2 linked regions of the Rhinolophus ferrumequinum genome follow. The protein of the gene in region 2 interacts with the protein of the main gene of each other region in a pairwise test. Links are inferred from orthologs where the notes say so. Each region holds a gene or a part of one and is shown on either strand. Other genes may lie near its edges.

Region 1 (7,156 bases), on a different chromosome or scaffold from region 2:
ACAACAAAGATGTTTTGTATGCCATATTGTGTAACATTTTGTAATAAATTTTTATGTCATCAATGCCATTAGATTCTAATATATCTATACTTATATCTAATTGATACCACTTAGTATGCTTTGAGTGGTTTTTGCTAAAATTAAAGGTAATGATAAATTTATCACCACATAATAAATGTTTAAAATAAAAATGTCATTTATGTACAAAGCAGCTCAAAATGTTATTAAATGCATAAAATAGTCAAAATATCAACTTTTTATTTTTTGTGGATTTTTGACACATTTTGGGGAAAAAAACCTTGAAATCAATTAACACAGTGAGAGTTAAGGTCTATTTCTGAAATCCATCCTATCATATTGATGTAGTAGCTAAACATTCCTTAACCAGTACCATATTGTTTTAAGAAATTTTATGGTATATTTTAACATCTTGATTTTAACATTCATCTTTATTCTTCTTCTTTTAAAATACTTGGCTATTCCAGCCTATTTATTATTTCAGATCAATTTTAGAATCAGTTTGACAAGTTCCCAAAAAACTCACTGCATTTTAACTGTAAATGAATCATAAATATGAATTCAAAAAGATTTATATCATATATTCCCATACATATATAAAGATATTTATATAGTACACGCAATTCTCATTCTTTCCATTGTGACGATAAACTGTGATCTATAATACCAGACAAAGGAGTAAAATATCTAAAAATAGTTAAAATAATGCTAATGAGGCAGCAAAGTGATTAGCAGCAAAACAGGTTGGTGGTGCAAAAGACCATCGGGCATTAAGACGTTGAAAGAAATTCCTCTAAAGGAAACTTTCGAGGCCCCCAGGACATTTGTGATACACTTGGGTTGTGAAAATAAATTTCAGCTAAAGGTTGAAGGCTTGAAAGTTACCCTCATCGATAAGACAGGCAAAGTCTCACTATAAAAAGAGAATCTGCAAGTAACCGATGGGATACAGGAAGGTCATCCTAGAAGTGACAACCAGGTTCCTGCCCCAATCCAGGCAGTAATTTTAAAATATACCCTTATCCTGGCCCAAATTTTACACTTGATCTTAGCCAAAAGGCCAAGAAACGACCTGGCCCAAATTTTAGACATTGTAACTTCAATCCACCTAGATAGTAAAACTGCTTCCCTTAGTTGTTTAAGTGACTTTGCAGGCCTGAGAAGTTATAGATATAATACTAGAGAATCATGTAAGTCAAACCTATAGCCTTTTAGATTTTTAGTCATCGTGATAACTGCTATTGCTTGTTACTAGGCCATTAGAAACGTTTAAGAGATTCAGACATATTAATGTCTGACGTCAGACTTACAATTTTAATTTGAAATCCTTAAGAAAATATAACTAGGTTCAAAAATATTCTTTTAAAAGAATCTTACCATTATACATTTATTAGCCTTACAAAAGCTAAGTCCTTGGAAAGATTTTACTATTTGGTTTATAAGTTCCCTGTTTTAGAAGTTTGAAGTATTAGAGAGAACAAGCATTTAAAACTTCAAATGCAATTTAACACATTTAAGGGAATTTAACTTTGTAATAAAAAGCTTATTGTTTAGGAAAATTTAATCTGTTAAACTGGTGCCTTAATTGAAGCTCTGTCAAAGATGAAGTACTTCTGTTTTTACAAAAACATTCTTAGATTTGTAAATGAAACAAGATTTGTCAGCAAAATTTAAAGCCTTAAGAAAACCTAAGGGGGCGCCCTGATGGCTCAGTTGGTTAGAGCAGGAGCTCTTAACAAGGTTGCCAGTTCAATTCCCACAGAGGAATGGTGAGCTGTGCCCCTGCAACTAAAGATTGAAAACAGCGACTGGACTTGGAGCTGACCTGCGCCCTCCACAACTTGACTGAAGAACAACGACTTGACTTGCAGCTGATGGGCCCTGGAAAAATACAGTTCCCCAATATTAAAAAAAAAAAAAATTATTGAAAAAAAGAAAACCTAAGTATTTAAATACAGGCATACCTCAGAGATACTGCAGGTTCCGTTCCAGACAACCGCAATAAAGCAAGTCGTAATCTTTTTGCTGGTGGAGGGTCTTGCCTTCAATTTGTAAAAAACGCAACATCTGTGAAGGGCAACAAAGTTAAGTGCAATAAAGCGAGGTATGCCTGTACTCACCTTTAAGGAGTTAAACCTTATTCTAAGCACAGTATTCTACAAACAACATCCCTTTTAAAAACCCTCAATTGATATTACCCAAGAAATGCTAGCTTCTTTTTGTATCTCAGATTATTCCCAGGAATGATATATTTTTTTGTTGAACGTCCTCTCAATTACTGTATTTTCAAGCTAATTATTGGTGAAACATAGAAAAACTGAATTTTGTATGCTGAGTTTCTAATTAGTTTCTTTACTGAATTTCAAAATAGGCTTTTTTTCAAAATAGGCTGTCCTATCATCCACAGAAATGAGAATTTTGTCTCCTTTCTGAAAAATGGTGTCTCGTTTTTGTTTCAGGTCTTACTGCATTGGCTAGAACTTACAGGATAATATTAGACAATATATTCTTTGCCATGTTCCTGACTGTAACGGGAATGCCTCTAGGCCAAGTGTGAAGTTAATTTAAAATTCACATTTTTTATCAAGTCATTAAAATAACCCTCAATCCTCAAAATTTAAGAGTTTTAAAATCAGAAACATATGTTGAATTTTATGAAATTATTTCCTGGAATCACAAATGTGCTTTAAATTATCGGTTGGTCTTTGAAACAATTCAAGACGGTAAATGACAGTTCCTAAAACTGACAGTACTTTAGGGAAACTGAATTCCAGTGAAAAACCAGCTGTGGACAAGCCAGTTCGCTAAAACAAAAACAAAAATATCCCACATACAACCAAAGTCTCCGTGTAACAAAACGCCTAAGGGAGATAGATGTGTGTGGACCTGCAATCTTTTCAAGCAGGCGGCGACTCAAGAAAAGTCCAGTCTAAGTTAAGTCAACACTTGACTTAAGAGTCCTTGAGGTCTGTAATTGGGAATGGGACTTTTTGAAAATGTTTATTTTCTAGCAGGAATCTGACGTTTGGGCAGTCTCTGTGAACGGTTCCTAGTTCCTCATTCAACGGCTTGTTTTCACGTATTGAAACTACGCCTGGCATCCGCCTCCCTGTTGTCACAACAACCTGCTCCTAACTTCTCCAAAAGTGTCAAACTACAACTCGGCTTAAGTGAGAGCCCGGTCCCGACAAAGACACGCACCTTTGTCCCCAGCGCGACGCAAGCTACGGCCCCGCGGGCCGCACTTGTCCCCCCGCGACCGTCCTCATGCCGGCCCGGGAGCCCGGGCTGCGGCGCTGCTAGCGGCCGGTCCCGGAGCCATGCCTCCCGGCGGGCGGCCAACCCGCGCCGCGGCCCATGGCTGGGTCCCCGCGGGCCCGGGGGAGCCTCGCTGGCCGTGCCGTCTGCCGGCCCAGGAGGAAGTGGAGAGACTCTGGCTCCACGTCGGCCGATCAACTCGGAACCTCGAGGCGGGCTGCACTGGCGCCCCGGGAGAACTTGAAGCGCGGACACGGGCTCCGGCTCGGAGCCGCTCCCCGGACGCAGCTGGCAAAAAGCGCGCTCTGAAGGACCCGTTCGCCCCCGGGCGCGGCCACGCAGAGCCCGCCGGGCGCGGGACCCCGGGTGCGGGGCCCCGGGCACGGGCGGAGGCTGGCTTCCAGGCCGCGCCGAGGTCCGTCAGGGTAGCTGCCCGCGAGGCGACGCGGCCGGCCCCGGGGCCCGCGCGGGACTAACGGCCGTAACGGAAGCGCCGTGGGGGAGGGGAATGGAGACCAGGGTCCGGAGGCGGGGCGGGTCGCAGGGTCGGCTCCTTTGCGCGCTGGACCGGCCGCACAGCCGCCGTCGCCGCCGCCTCAGATCCCGGGCGCTTCGTTGTCACGAGCCGAAGGGAGGGGAAAGGAGCCGGGAGTCTTTCGGCTCCAGCGCGCGGAGACCGCGGCTCCCGCGTCACGTGCCGCCTAGCCGGCCAATAAGCACCGGCGGGCGTGGCGACGTCAGAGCAGCGGCGTGGCCGATGACAGCCGGCCCCCGTCACGTGGCCGGACTCAACCCAATGGGCGGCGCCGGGGCGACCTGAAGTTCCCGGCGGCCTGTGCGTCGGTGGTGGTTGGGTGGTAAGATGGCGGCTGTGAGTCTGCGGCTCGGCGATTTGGTGTGGTGAGTCCGGGCGTCCGGGGCCAAGCGAGGTGCGACGGGAAACTGCTCCTTTGGGCGCGGGGTTGGCGGACAGCCCCGGAGCTGCCTTTCTGGGCGCTCCAGGCCGCGGAGAGAGGGCGAGACGAGGTGCCGGTGCTGGGAGCGACGCCGGGCGGAAGGGGCAGCCCTGCCCCGGGGGACTGAGGCCGAGGGTGGCCGCGGCGGGCCGGGCTCCGAGGCCGCCCGGGAGAGAGCTGAGCTCCGGACCCGGACGCCGACGGCTACTGTGAGGGGCATTTCTGGAGCCACCCGCGGTGCGGGTTCCTCGGGGTCTTGCTGGGGTTCCCTGTAAAGCGGGGGAGCCCTCAAGGCCATCTCGCCCCGGCAAGCCCGTTAAAACCAGCGTTGCAATGGAACCGAACTCTGCGGGCGGCTTGGCCAAGGGTGTCGAAACCGGACTGATGGCGCTGCCCGGTGAAGAAATGGAGAGGAGACTTCTTCTTTACAACCGAAGGCTTGGCAGTGATCAGTGCCGTTTTGGGTGCCTCTTGTGGTCTTCTTCTGTGTCCCAGACAACCGCCCGAACCAAGACTGACTGTCGCCGCCTCGGTCGAGCTGCGTAGCTTATTTCTCGACCCAGAGGAAGGCTTCCATTAGCATTTGGCAAAGCCAGCTGGTCTCGCGGTGAATTAAACCAGACTTTGTAAGGGGAAGTCTGTGTTTACAGAGCAAACTGGCCCCCACCCCCGTCACGGGGAGGCTCTAGACAAGTGGCTCTTGGCGGTTTTGTTGTTCTGTATCCCTTGTCACCAGAAGAATGTACATACTTTATGCACATAGGTATACAATTTTGCATTCCATTTCTGAGGAGTTTGGGCCTGTTGAGTCCAACTGGGGAAGCCAGATTAAGAACTCCTGTGTGCCAGCTTTTGTTCTGGCACTTGAGGATGCAAGTGGAGATTTAGGAAAATAAATTGCATGTTGAGTGGGTTGAAGAAGATGGACTGGCTTTTCCAGGGCAAGTGCTGACTCTCTGTGTTTTCTCTAGGGGGAAACTCGGCAGGTATCCTCCTTGGCCAGGAAAGGTGAGTCTCTTGCTACTGAACTAAAGGAAGACATCTGAAGTTGGGTTTGAACAGGTGGAGAATGTAAGATGCATTCCCTTCAATTTCTAGCATTGAGTTAAACTGCCTATTTTAAGTAACAGAATTTTTTCTTCTGGAACATCAGTTCATTTAGAAAAGGCAATATAATATAAACCAGATCACTTAATCTTCATTAAATGCTTATTTCTTGAATCAGAGATGGTTTTGTGGAGGTTTTTAACCCTGGAAATCAATTCTAATTTGAATTTAGCTTTACACTTAAATCTAACGAAAGGAGAAGAAAATAAATTCTCCAGGAAGATAGAAATCTAAATGTAGACTAGTGAAAAGTCAAAGTATTTTTGTCCCAACTAAGTTTAAATCTTCTATGTTACCATATGTGCTGCTCCAGTGCATCTTTGCAGAAGTTGGCATTTCAAATTTTGCATGAGGCGATCCGTCATAGCTTTCCAAATGTTCTGTTTTTATATTCTTGCTAGGAGCCCAGGAAATGTCTTTAGACTGTCTCCTTGCAATATGGTATTTTCAGTGCTTCAGTTGCCTTTCCTTGTCACTATTACCTGTCTCAACTCTTCCTTCACAGAAGTATTTTTAAAAGTGTCCTCTACATTTCTTCAGTGATGACAGGGTCACATGGGATGAGGGGATGATATTTGTCTTAGTTTTAACTGCTTTTAAAACAGGGGCATTGCAGTAAAGGAATACCGTATCTACTGAACGATGTGCCACATGTTAGATGTAGAGAACTTTGGAATATTTGTACATCTCCACACATCTCAGTAGAAAAGTGCCAAATTTGGATACATACTAGGCGCTCGGTTTTTTTCTTTTTAAGACATTTCTTTTGTTTTATTTGATTTTTTTTTTCTTACCAACTTAGAATGGTGGGAAAAAACCTTTTTTTCCCTTTTATCCCCCAGATTGTTAATCCACCCAAGGACTTGAAGAAACCTCGTGGAAAGAAGTGCTTCTTTGTGAAGTTTTTTGGAACAGAGGATCAGTGAGTAGTGCTCACCAAGAGTTTCGCTTTCCCTTTGTTTAGGCATTGGCCTGGGTCTGAGCTGCTCTGAGAGTATTCTGTGGACCCTAGTTCAGTCCTACTAGGTAGTCTATAAAATGGCATCATTCTGGCTTCATACCTAAAGAAAAGGTGCTATTCTTACCTTGCAGAAATTGTCCTGGGGCCAATAACAGTGTCAGTCAGGTGAGAACTAGGGCTCACCACCTTCTAAATATAATAATCACATTGAGAGTTTCTCACACCTCTCTTGCCAACTCCATAGGCAGTTCCTCCTATAGGACCAATTTGGTTTCCCATTTAATGGCTGTTTATCAGTGTGGCTCATGCATGAGCTAGACAGTGAAAACTAAAATTTTATTTACCTTAATAAAAGTAATTGTTTAATCTGTTTTCTTTTGGGAAACTAAATGACTTGCTTTAATGTTGTAACATTTAGCTAGCCCTGTCCTAGAGTTGAAATCAGAATCGTTAATATGAGATTCTTTGATAGGCCATATAAGAAATCACAGTGTGGGGAAGAAGGTATTTGCTTGAGATTCTGATGATTTGTTTCGCGTTCCCATCACTACATCAAGTTGATTACCTAGTTCTAGCTAGATGGTTTGATTTCTTTAAGTAGTTGTATTTCTGTTTATGATTCTTACAGGAAAATGTAATTTTGGGTTAGGAAAATGTGACTTTTCTGATAAAGCTAATACCAATAGTTAAAATACACATTCCTAGAAAGTGATATATAATATCCATAGGAAAATCTCATAAACTGTTCTTCACTCACTCAGGAGTTTATGTGTCAGGGTGCTTACTCATCTTGGTTTAGAGTTTGCCTAGCCCCATACAGATGTACTGATATACCCAGGCCCAGTTCTCTGTCACA
Region 2 (7,161 bases):
CCCTCTTCAATAGGGTCAACGATGAGAAAGTCCCCTGTAGGTAGAGAGGAGAAAAGGTCGAGTCAGTTCAGCTTGCACTGGGGGAAGCCAAGGTCACTGGAAGTGGTTCTGTGTCTTAGACGGCTCTCTCACCTCTCTTGATCCAGATGTTCTTGCGGTATTTGGAGGGCATGCTCACCAGGAAGCACTGCCCCTGGGCTGTCTCCACCTCGTGCAGATTGTTCCCTGGGGTTCTGAGTACCTGGTCCAGGAGAGACCAAGAACCAGTCGGCCTCATCAGCTAGCTCAAAGACCCCCTGCGCCACCCTGCACTCTTCCCCCACCCCAGGGCCCAACGGGAGTGGAGGGGTGGGGGACGGAGTAGCTTGTGCCCAATGCTACTCACCCTCACGATCTGCTGCTTCTCGGAGGGTACCATGTGCTCCCCCTGCACCTCCTTCACCACGTGCTTCCTCTTGGTGGCCCGAGACATGTTGGGTCCTGTTCCGGGAGGTGAGGGACGCAGAGGCTGTCAACTCCTGCTCCTGAGTTTCTTGGATGGCAGGTTCAGAACCCAGGACTGTTTTGAAGATGGGGAGGGACTTTTTACTGGGGAGTGACACAGTGTCCTGGTTAAGAACGTGGGCTCTAACATCTAATTGCTTGAACTGAAATCCTACCTTGACTATTTCCTGTGGACGAAAAAAAGGGGTTCCATGGAAACAGAGTAACCTGATCATAAATTCAGAAATGAGCAGGTCATGATGGGTGGTCACACCCCAGGCATATAACTTCTTTAGTCAAAGGTTTTTAAGCCAGCCAAGTAATACCCCTCTAAAGCACGACCACCCTCAAAGATAGCACATAATCTTATTAACTACTCTGCAACCCAATCCCTGCCCTGCTTTCTCCCATCCTCAAGTCATCTTCCTTAGACCCCTCCTCCTTACTTTCTAAGGCATAAAACAAACTGCAAAACTATTATTCTCCAGAGCATTTTAGATCTTGCTTGCTAGCATAGGTCATCGGTTTGGCTCAAACTCTTATAAAAATTCTCCATGGTGATATGGGAGAGCCCCTCACTACAGAAATTTTAAGTCTCCTTTTCCCTAGTTTCTTAGCTCCTTAGCCCCGGGTTTTGATTACTCTTCTGATCAGTTTTTGAATCCTAGACTAAAGAGTGCTCCTCGCCTGAATCAGAGAATGTCTCTTAAAAGCCTATGACTTCCCAACATCCTCCAAGCCATTCCAGACCCCCCAGGCCAGTATACTTGTTAATTGTAATCAGTGAAGCCTAAGGTTCTTTTCAACCCATTCTGGGCCCAGCTCCTGGACAACTGATGCCACCTAAATGGTTGAATGGCCACAGGCTCCATAGTGCTAATGGATTTATTAATTAAAATCTATTTTTCCTCATTCAGGGGCTTTGGGGATACAGAGGATACCCCAGCAAGATTGCCAGTCGCAACCAAAGAAGCCAACATGGTCTTCCAGGCAGGTCCCGAGACCCCTTCCTCTCACCTGAGATCAGACAGGGCGAGAGTTCCGTGAATCCCCCAATAGGTAGGGACAGATCTTCGCCCCCGTCCAGCAGGAAGCAGATACAGAAAAAAAGACCTTCTGTCCCTCAACTTCCCATAGAGTTTTTATGGGGATCATGTCTCTCAAGGGGAAAACAAGGCACGCAGTTAGAGCTAGGCATCAGGTCTCTGCATCCCTGAACAGAATGCGACTGCCCAGAAGACCTCCCCTCTCCGCCCAAAACTTCCCCTTTTCATTGTAATTATCTGCGCCTATGAGGAACAAATGGGTACAAAATACCCAACTAGATTAAACCAGCCCCTCACTCCTGAGCAGCAAAGACCACAATTTCACCTGGGCCTCATTATCCCATCATTATAATATCATACATACGCCTGGGAGTTCATTAATATCATTATAACAGACTGAATTCTGGGAAAGAACATGCACAGTCTAAAAAGATGAGGTAATAGCCTCTTGTCAATCACAGGTGTCAATCAAGTGGTCCCACTCCCGCAAAGGAACTGCCCATTCTAGAGGGAAAAAAGGATAAAAACTCCAAGTCCTCCCAGTCAGGCCCTTTTTGATCCTGGGCCCTTAGCCCTTTGGGCCTTTGAGCCGGGGTCCTTTTTTGAGTCTCTTCTTTTGCTCAGCCCGCTCCACACTCTTTGGAGTGTACTATCCCTTTTCTTAATGGTCCTTGAGCCACTGCTTTCTGCTCGGCCCGCTTCTATTTCCTTGGAGAGTACTATCTCTTCTAATAAATTGCTTTTCCACCACTTGATCACGGTATCTCGTTCAATTCTTTGTTCCAGATGCCAAGAACCTGGACACCCTCCGGTAACTATGGGTTTGGACGTTCTTACATTGACATTCCTTACTGTTTAACTTTCCCAAGCCACAAAGAAAAATAACAGCTAACCCAGAACATTGTCATTACGATGCAATGATGTGAGCAACGCACTTAGCACAGTGTACGGCAGATAAAAATAAGTCATGTTGTCTTAAGTACTGGCATAACATAAAAACTAAATAAATCACTCTGGCAACCGTTCACGGAGGAGTGTGAGATAAACTATCTTCCTCAATATGCTTGTACATCCCAAATACAGCACAGCCATACAACACAGATACTCACTTCAACAGACTACAGACAAGAGACCAGTTTGGAGACCACCGAGATGGTCCAAGCCAGGAACGAGTTCATTAAAGGTCGAGGAAAGCCGGCGTGGTCTGCGGCATCTGCTATGTTTCTGACGGGTTCTGAGAAAACAAGAATTGGCACCACCAAGACTGGTGGTTTCTAAAGGAAACTCCGCGTGTCACCTCAGGTTGCCTTTTCCTGCCCTCCTCCCTCCCTATCCCGGAGGTAAGACGCGCACAGACCCCACACTTACTTTCTGGCCCTCTTCTCCCAAAGGCGTTGCTTGAACGATTCCGTTCTTCAGGCTGGACGCTCGCTGGGAGCGGCTCGTCCACGACTCACTTCGTAGAAAAGGAACTTGCCGGCGATCACGACGGTAGCGTCAACTTGGACACAGATCTCCGGAGTCTCCAGCTCCTGCCGGACTCGTACAAGTCCCACAGCGGTGAGGGCGACACGAATCGGCCTGAGTCGGACCCTTCCGAGTACGGTACTTCCGGCGGCCTCTCGGAAGCCTTCGGCCACGCTCCTCCCTCCTTGTCCGTTCCTTTAACTCTTCCCACCCCCAGATCGCCAAAGGCTAAGTCCTTGAGTTCCGGATGCCGTGCAGCGGGGAAATAAAGTTTTCTCCACCGAAGCCTCTGCTCCTTGAGACCGGAAGTACTTCTGGAGAAGCGAGACAATAGAAGGCAGCCCGGTTTCCCGCGAAGCGACCGGAAAGGAGCCCCTTCTAAGGCCGCCGTGAGGTCCAGGGAGCCTCATCTCTATGGCTCTGAGTGGCTAGAAGTGCCACATTTTTTAAGTGGCTCTTGAGGCGACCCGGAAGCGGAAGTAGAAGAACGTTCTAGTGAGTTGAGGTATCGGCGGGAGCAGCCGGGCGGTAGGAGTATCCGTTACGGGAGCTGAAGCTGCCGGTGAGCGCGCGCTGCACAGCAGGGCTTGGACTGGAGGCAGAGGAGGCGCGAGAAGGAGGGAAGCCGTAAGCGCCACGGCCAGCCAGAGAATGCGCCCTCGGAGAGGGCTTGGCGGCCCGGCGAGGAGGGGCGGGACGCGGCGCGCGGGCGCGGCGGCGCGTGGAGGAGGCGGGGCGACGCGTCTCGGGGGCGGGGCCTTCGAGGCGCGGCGGGAGCCCAGACGTGAACCTGGTGGGGCTGGGGCACTGAGCTGGGGTGTGCGCTCTGGCCCGTGCCTGTGCTCTCTGAGCAGCCAATTGGGGCGGGTGGGGCAGGGGGACCCTTTGTTTGCTTTTCTGGCTGGATAGCCCTTCCAGGCAGAGTCAGTACCTCCTTTGCCCAGCCAAGGTCACAGAGGGAGTGACACCTTCAGGGCGAGTTCTGGCTACTGACCGGCCTGCGCCACCTGATAGGGCAGGATAGTCTTTCCTCTGGGGCAATACCAAAACCCCGTTCCCGCAGGGAGTGAGAGAGATTTCTCTCTTGAGTAGTGGGAAAAACTTGCCTTGGACCTCAGTTTTCTCATCCGTGAAATGAGGGGAATCGAATAACCCACCATAATCGCTGGTCTAGCTTCCTTTAAATATGATATTGCCAGTGGGCCTTTGGGAGTTCCCGGGTTTTCAGTCCTAACCTACCTTTTCTTGGGATTCGTAGATAAATCCTGATCAAGATGACAACATCCCAAAAGCATCGAGACTTCGTGGCAGAGCCCATGGGGGAAAAGCCAGTGGGGAGCCTGGCCGGGATTGGTGAAGTCCTGGGCAAGAAGCTGGAGGAAAGGGGCTTTGACAAGGTGTGCGGAGGCTGCATGCAGCTGGGGAGGGCTGGGGGTGGCAGACTACAGTATTGCCTGGCAGTTTGGGAGCGAGGAAAGTGAGTGTATCTGGTGGGGGAGGACCGTGGTATATAATCTGAAGAGGTAGCCAGAGCCTGCCCTGCCTCCTAGGCTCATGTGCTCTGAATGCCACAGGAGTGGCCTTGTTCTTAGTCCCACAGGGCACTGAATAGCATGCCTTTTATTTTGCCTGTTTTGCAGGCGTATGTGGTCCTTGGCCAGTTTCTGGTGCTTAAGAAAGATGAAGACCTCTTCCGGGAATGGCTAAAGGACACGTGTGGCGCCAATGCCAAGCAGTCCCGGGACTGCTTCGGGTGCCTCCGAGAGTGGTGCGATGCCTTCTTGTGATGCACTCTGGGGAGCCCCCAGTCCCTAGCCCCAGCCTTGAGTCTCCAGAGTTTGCAGCCGAGTGGGGGCTCCTCCCCTGCCCTGTACAAAGGATTGATGTCTGCTCAGCCTGCAGTGTCATCCAGGGTCTTCAGGGAGTTCTCTCCCCTTACCATTTCAACTTTTTCAGAAGTTCTTCGTTTTGCATGCATCTCTCTTCTCTCCCCTGCCAATTTCATGTTGATAATTACCAGCTTTTCTGAGTGGATTCCTGGCCCCTTCCCTCACCCACACCCTCCTCGCCGGTCTGTTTTATGCCATTTGGCTTCTCTTTTGGCAGAATAGTCGTTGTCCTTACAAAGTTTTTTAAATCAATAAAGTTAGTGGCCTTCAGGACTGGGTTTTGTGCGTTGAAAAACAGATGGGCTGGGAGTCGCCTCTTCCCCAGGGGCTGATCAGGTCTGTCACACTCCTTATCAGTGCCAGTCGAAACTGGCAGCTTCCTCCGTACACCGGAGGGCAGCCACCCTAGCCACATAAGCCTCAGGCAGGTGCCTCAAGAGTGCCTCAATCCCGTAGTAACATGGGAGAGAGTGTGGGTTGGTCCCTTCCTGGGATCCAGGTGTGCTGTGCCATTCCCGATGTCAGCTGAGTCAGTAGCTGAGCTAGCCGGCACCTGGTGGAAAAGGAAGTGGGAGTCAGAGGTACCAGGAAGAGGGGGACGGAATGTGGGTAAAAGTTCACCTGCTAATCATCATGTGCTTTCCTGGCCTTTGGGAGGAGTGGGCAGGGCTCTTGCGGTCTGGGAGGCAGAGAGAGCATGGGATCACAGCTGAGGGCGAGTTACACTTTTATCTGGTACATTTTCATCCTATTTTTGATTGCACGCTTAGTGAACCAGCCCCACAGCTAAGATCTTTATCAATATTTTTTTCTTCCACAGTAAAGAATTGTTTTCTCTTTTACAGGTGAGGAAACCAGGGACTCAGAGAGACTGGACTTTCTGCTAGGAAGTGCCCCCATTGGCTCTCAAAATAACTTAGAAGCCCATATACCTGAGAGCCCTGTGTTCTTTGGTCATATCCTTCAGCCTCTCTGAGCCTCAGTTTCCCCACTTGGAAAATGAGATGGTTGTAAGGATCAGATGAAATGCTAACTGTGCAGCACCCAGCCCTGCTTGGCTTTCAGTCTTTTGAGTGGGGCCTCGCTGAGGAACTGCTGCGTAAAGGGCGTTCCTCAGAGGGCTCCCAGTCTGGTGAGGACAGACCGACACACATTAAATACAAACATTGGGGTAACAGGAGAAGATTTTCCTGACTTCAGGGTAGGGAAAAATTAAGAAGAAAAAGTTGATACATTTAACTCCATTAGTAGAAACTCCATCTAAAGATACCATAAAGAGAGTGACAGACAAAACTGACTGAGAGTGGGAAAGGATATTTGTAACACATACGTGACAAGGTACTATATCCAGAGTATATAACATAACTGCAGTGAAGAAAAGCAAACAAAACAATTACATTAGTAATCAGAAATGCAAATGAGGTGTTATTATACACTCACTGGATTGGCAGAAATTTTAAGCCAGACAATACCAAGTGATGAGGAAATGGAGCAACAGGAACTGATACCCAGCTGGTGGGAATGGCGATTGGTCTAAACACTTGGGAAAAACAGTTGGGTGTTTTCTATAACTGAACACCCACCCTGTGAGCCAGCTATTCCACTGCCCTGGAGCTATGACCGAGGACACTCGCACACCTGCTCCAGCACCGACGGGAGCCTTCAGAGCTGCTTTTTTTCTAACAGCCCCAACTGGAAGAGCTCTGATGGCTGTCAGTACCCGGGGAAATGAATTCACAACAGCTGTGGGACAAAGGTGACACTCAATACTGAGCAAACATCAAAATATACACGTAAAGTCAGGTCAGTTGTTGCTTAGGGATCTCTAGATAGGTGGTAAAACGAGAAAGAGCAAGGAAATGGGTTATTGCAAATGTCAACAATGATTGCCTTTGGGAGTGGGACGTGGGTATGGTGAGCAGGACAGCCTGGGGGCGGGAGTGGCAGTTTCCATTTCTTGACCTGTGTGGTGGTAGTACAGGTGTCAACTGATAAAGGGAACAGAAGTGTTCTGTGTACTTGACGTTAGCTCCGTCTCAATAGAAGAAGGAAGATAAAAGGGAAACCAAAGTAAAGACCTGGGTATAGAGCGATTATACGAGTAACTGGAAACTATGGTGGTTATTAGTACAGATGAGGGTTCCGAGCAAGGTTGGGTCTGGGAAGTTGAGTGGCTCCCTTGGAAGGGCACCAGGTAGCCAGAGCAGGGCCCGGCTTGTGTTACAGGCCACCTCCTGGGAGGGTGCCAGTCTGCAGCCCAGACCGAGATGGTAATG

Evidence for each region.
Region 1: the proteins of EIF1AD (region 2) and GLYR1 interact in binary tests that used the Homo sapiens proteins (3 or more experiments, as listed by UniProt). The two-hybrid records come from large-scale screens. The link is inferred for Rhinolophus ferrumequinum from reciprocal best matches to the Homo sapiens genes EIF1AD and GLYR1.

Annotation. Positions count from the first base shown.
Region 1 is NW_022680357.1:5,961,013-5,968,168, reverse strand, and holds the start of GLYR1 (cytokine-like nuclear factor N-PAC), read left to right. Parts: upstream 1-4,064; 5' UTR 4,065-4,138; coding exon 4,139-4,176; intron 4,177-5,203; coding exon 5,204-5,240; intron 5,241-6,181; coding exon 6,182-6,261; intron 6,262-7,156. UniProt on the Homo sapiens protein: Cytokine-like nuclear factor with chromatin gene reader activity involved in chromatin modification and regulation of gene expression. Acts as a nucleosome-destabilizing factor that is recruited to genes during transcriptional activation.
Region 2 is NC_046294.1:5,844,722-5,851,882, reverse strand, and holds the start of EIF1AD (probable RNA-binding protein EIF1AD), read right to left. Parts: upstream 3,040-7,161; 5' UTR 2,898-3,039; intron 2,764-2,897; 5' UTR 2,639-2,763; intron 589-2,638; exon of another isoform or gene 481-588; 5' UTR 473-480; coding exon 386-472; intron 242-385; coding exon 133-241; intron 35-132; coding exon 1-34. Other genes in the region: BANF1 (barrier-to-autointegration factor), read left to right, coding at 4,271-4,393, 4,637-4,783.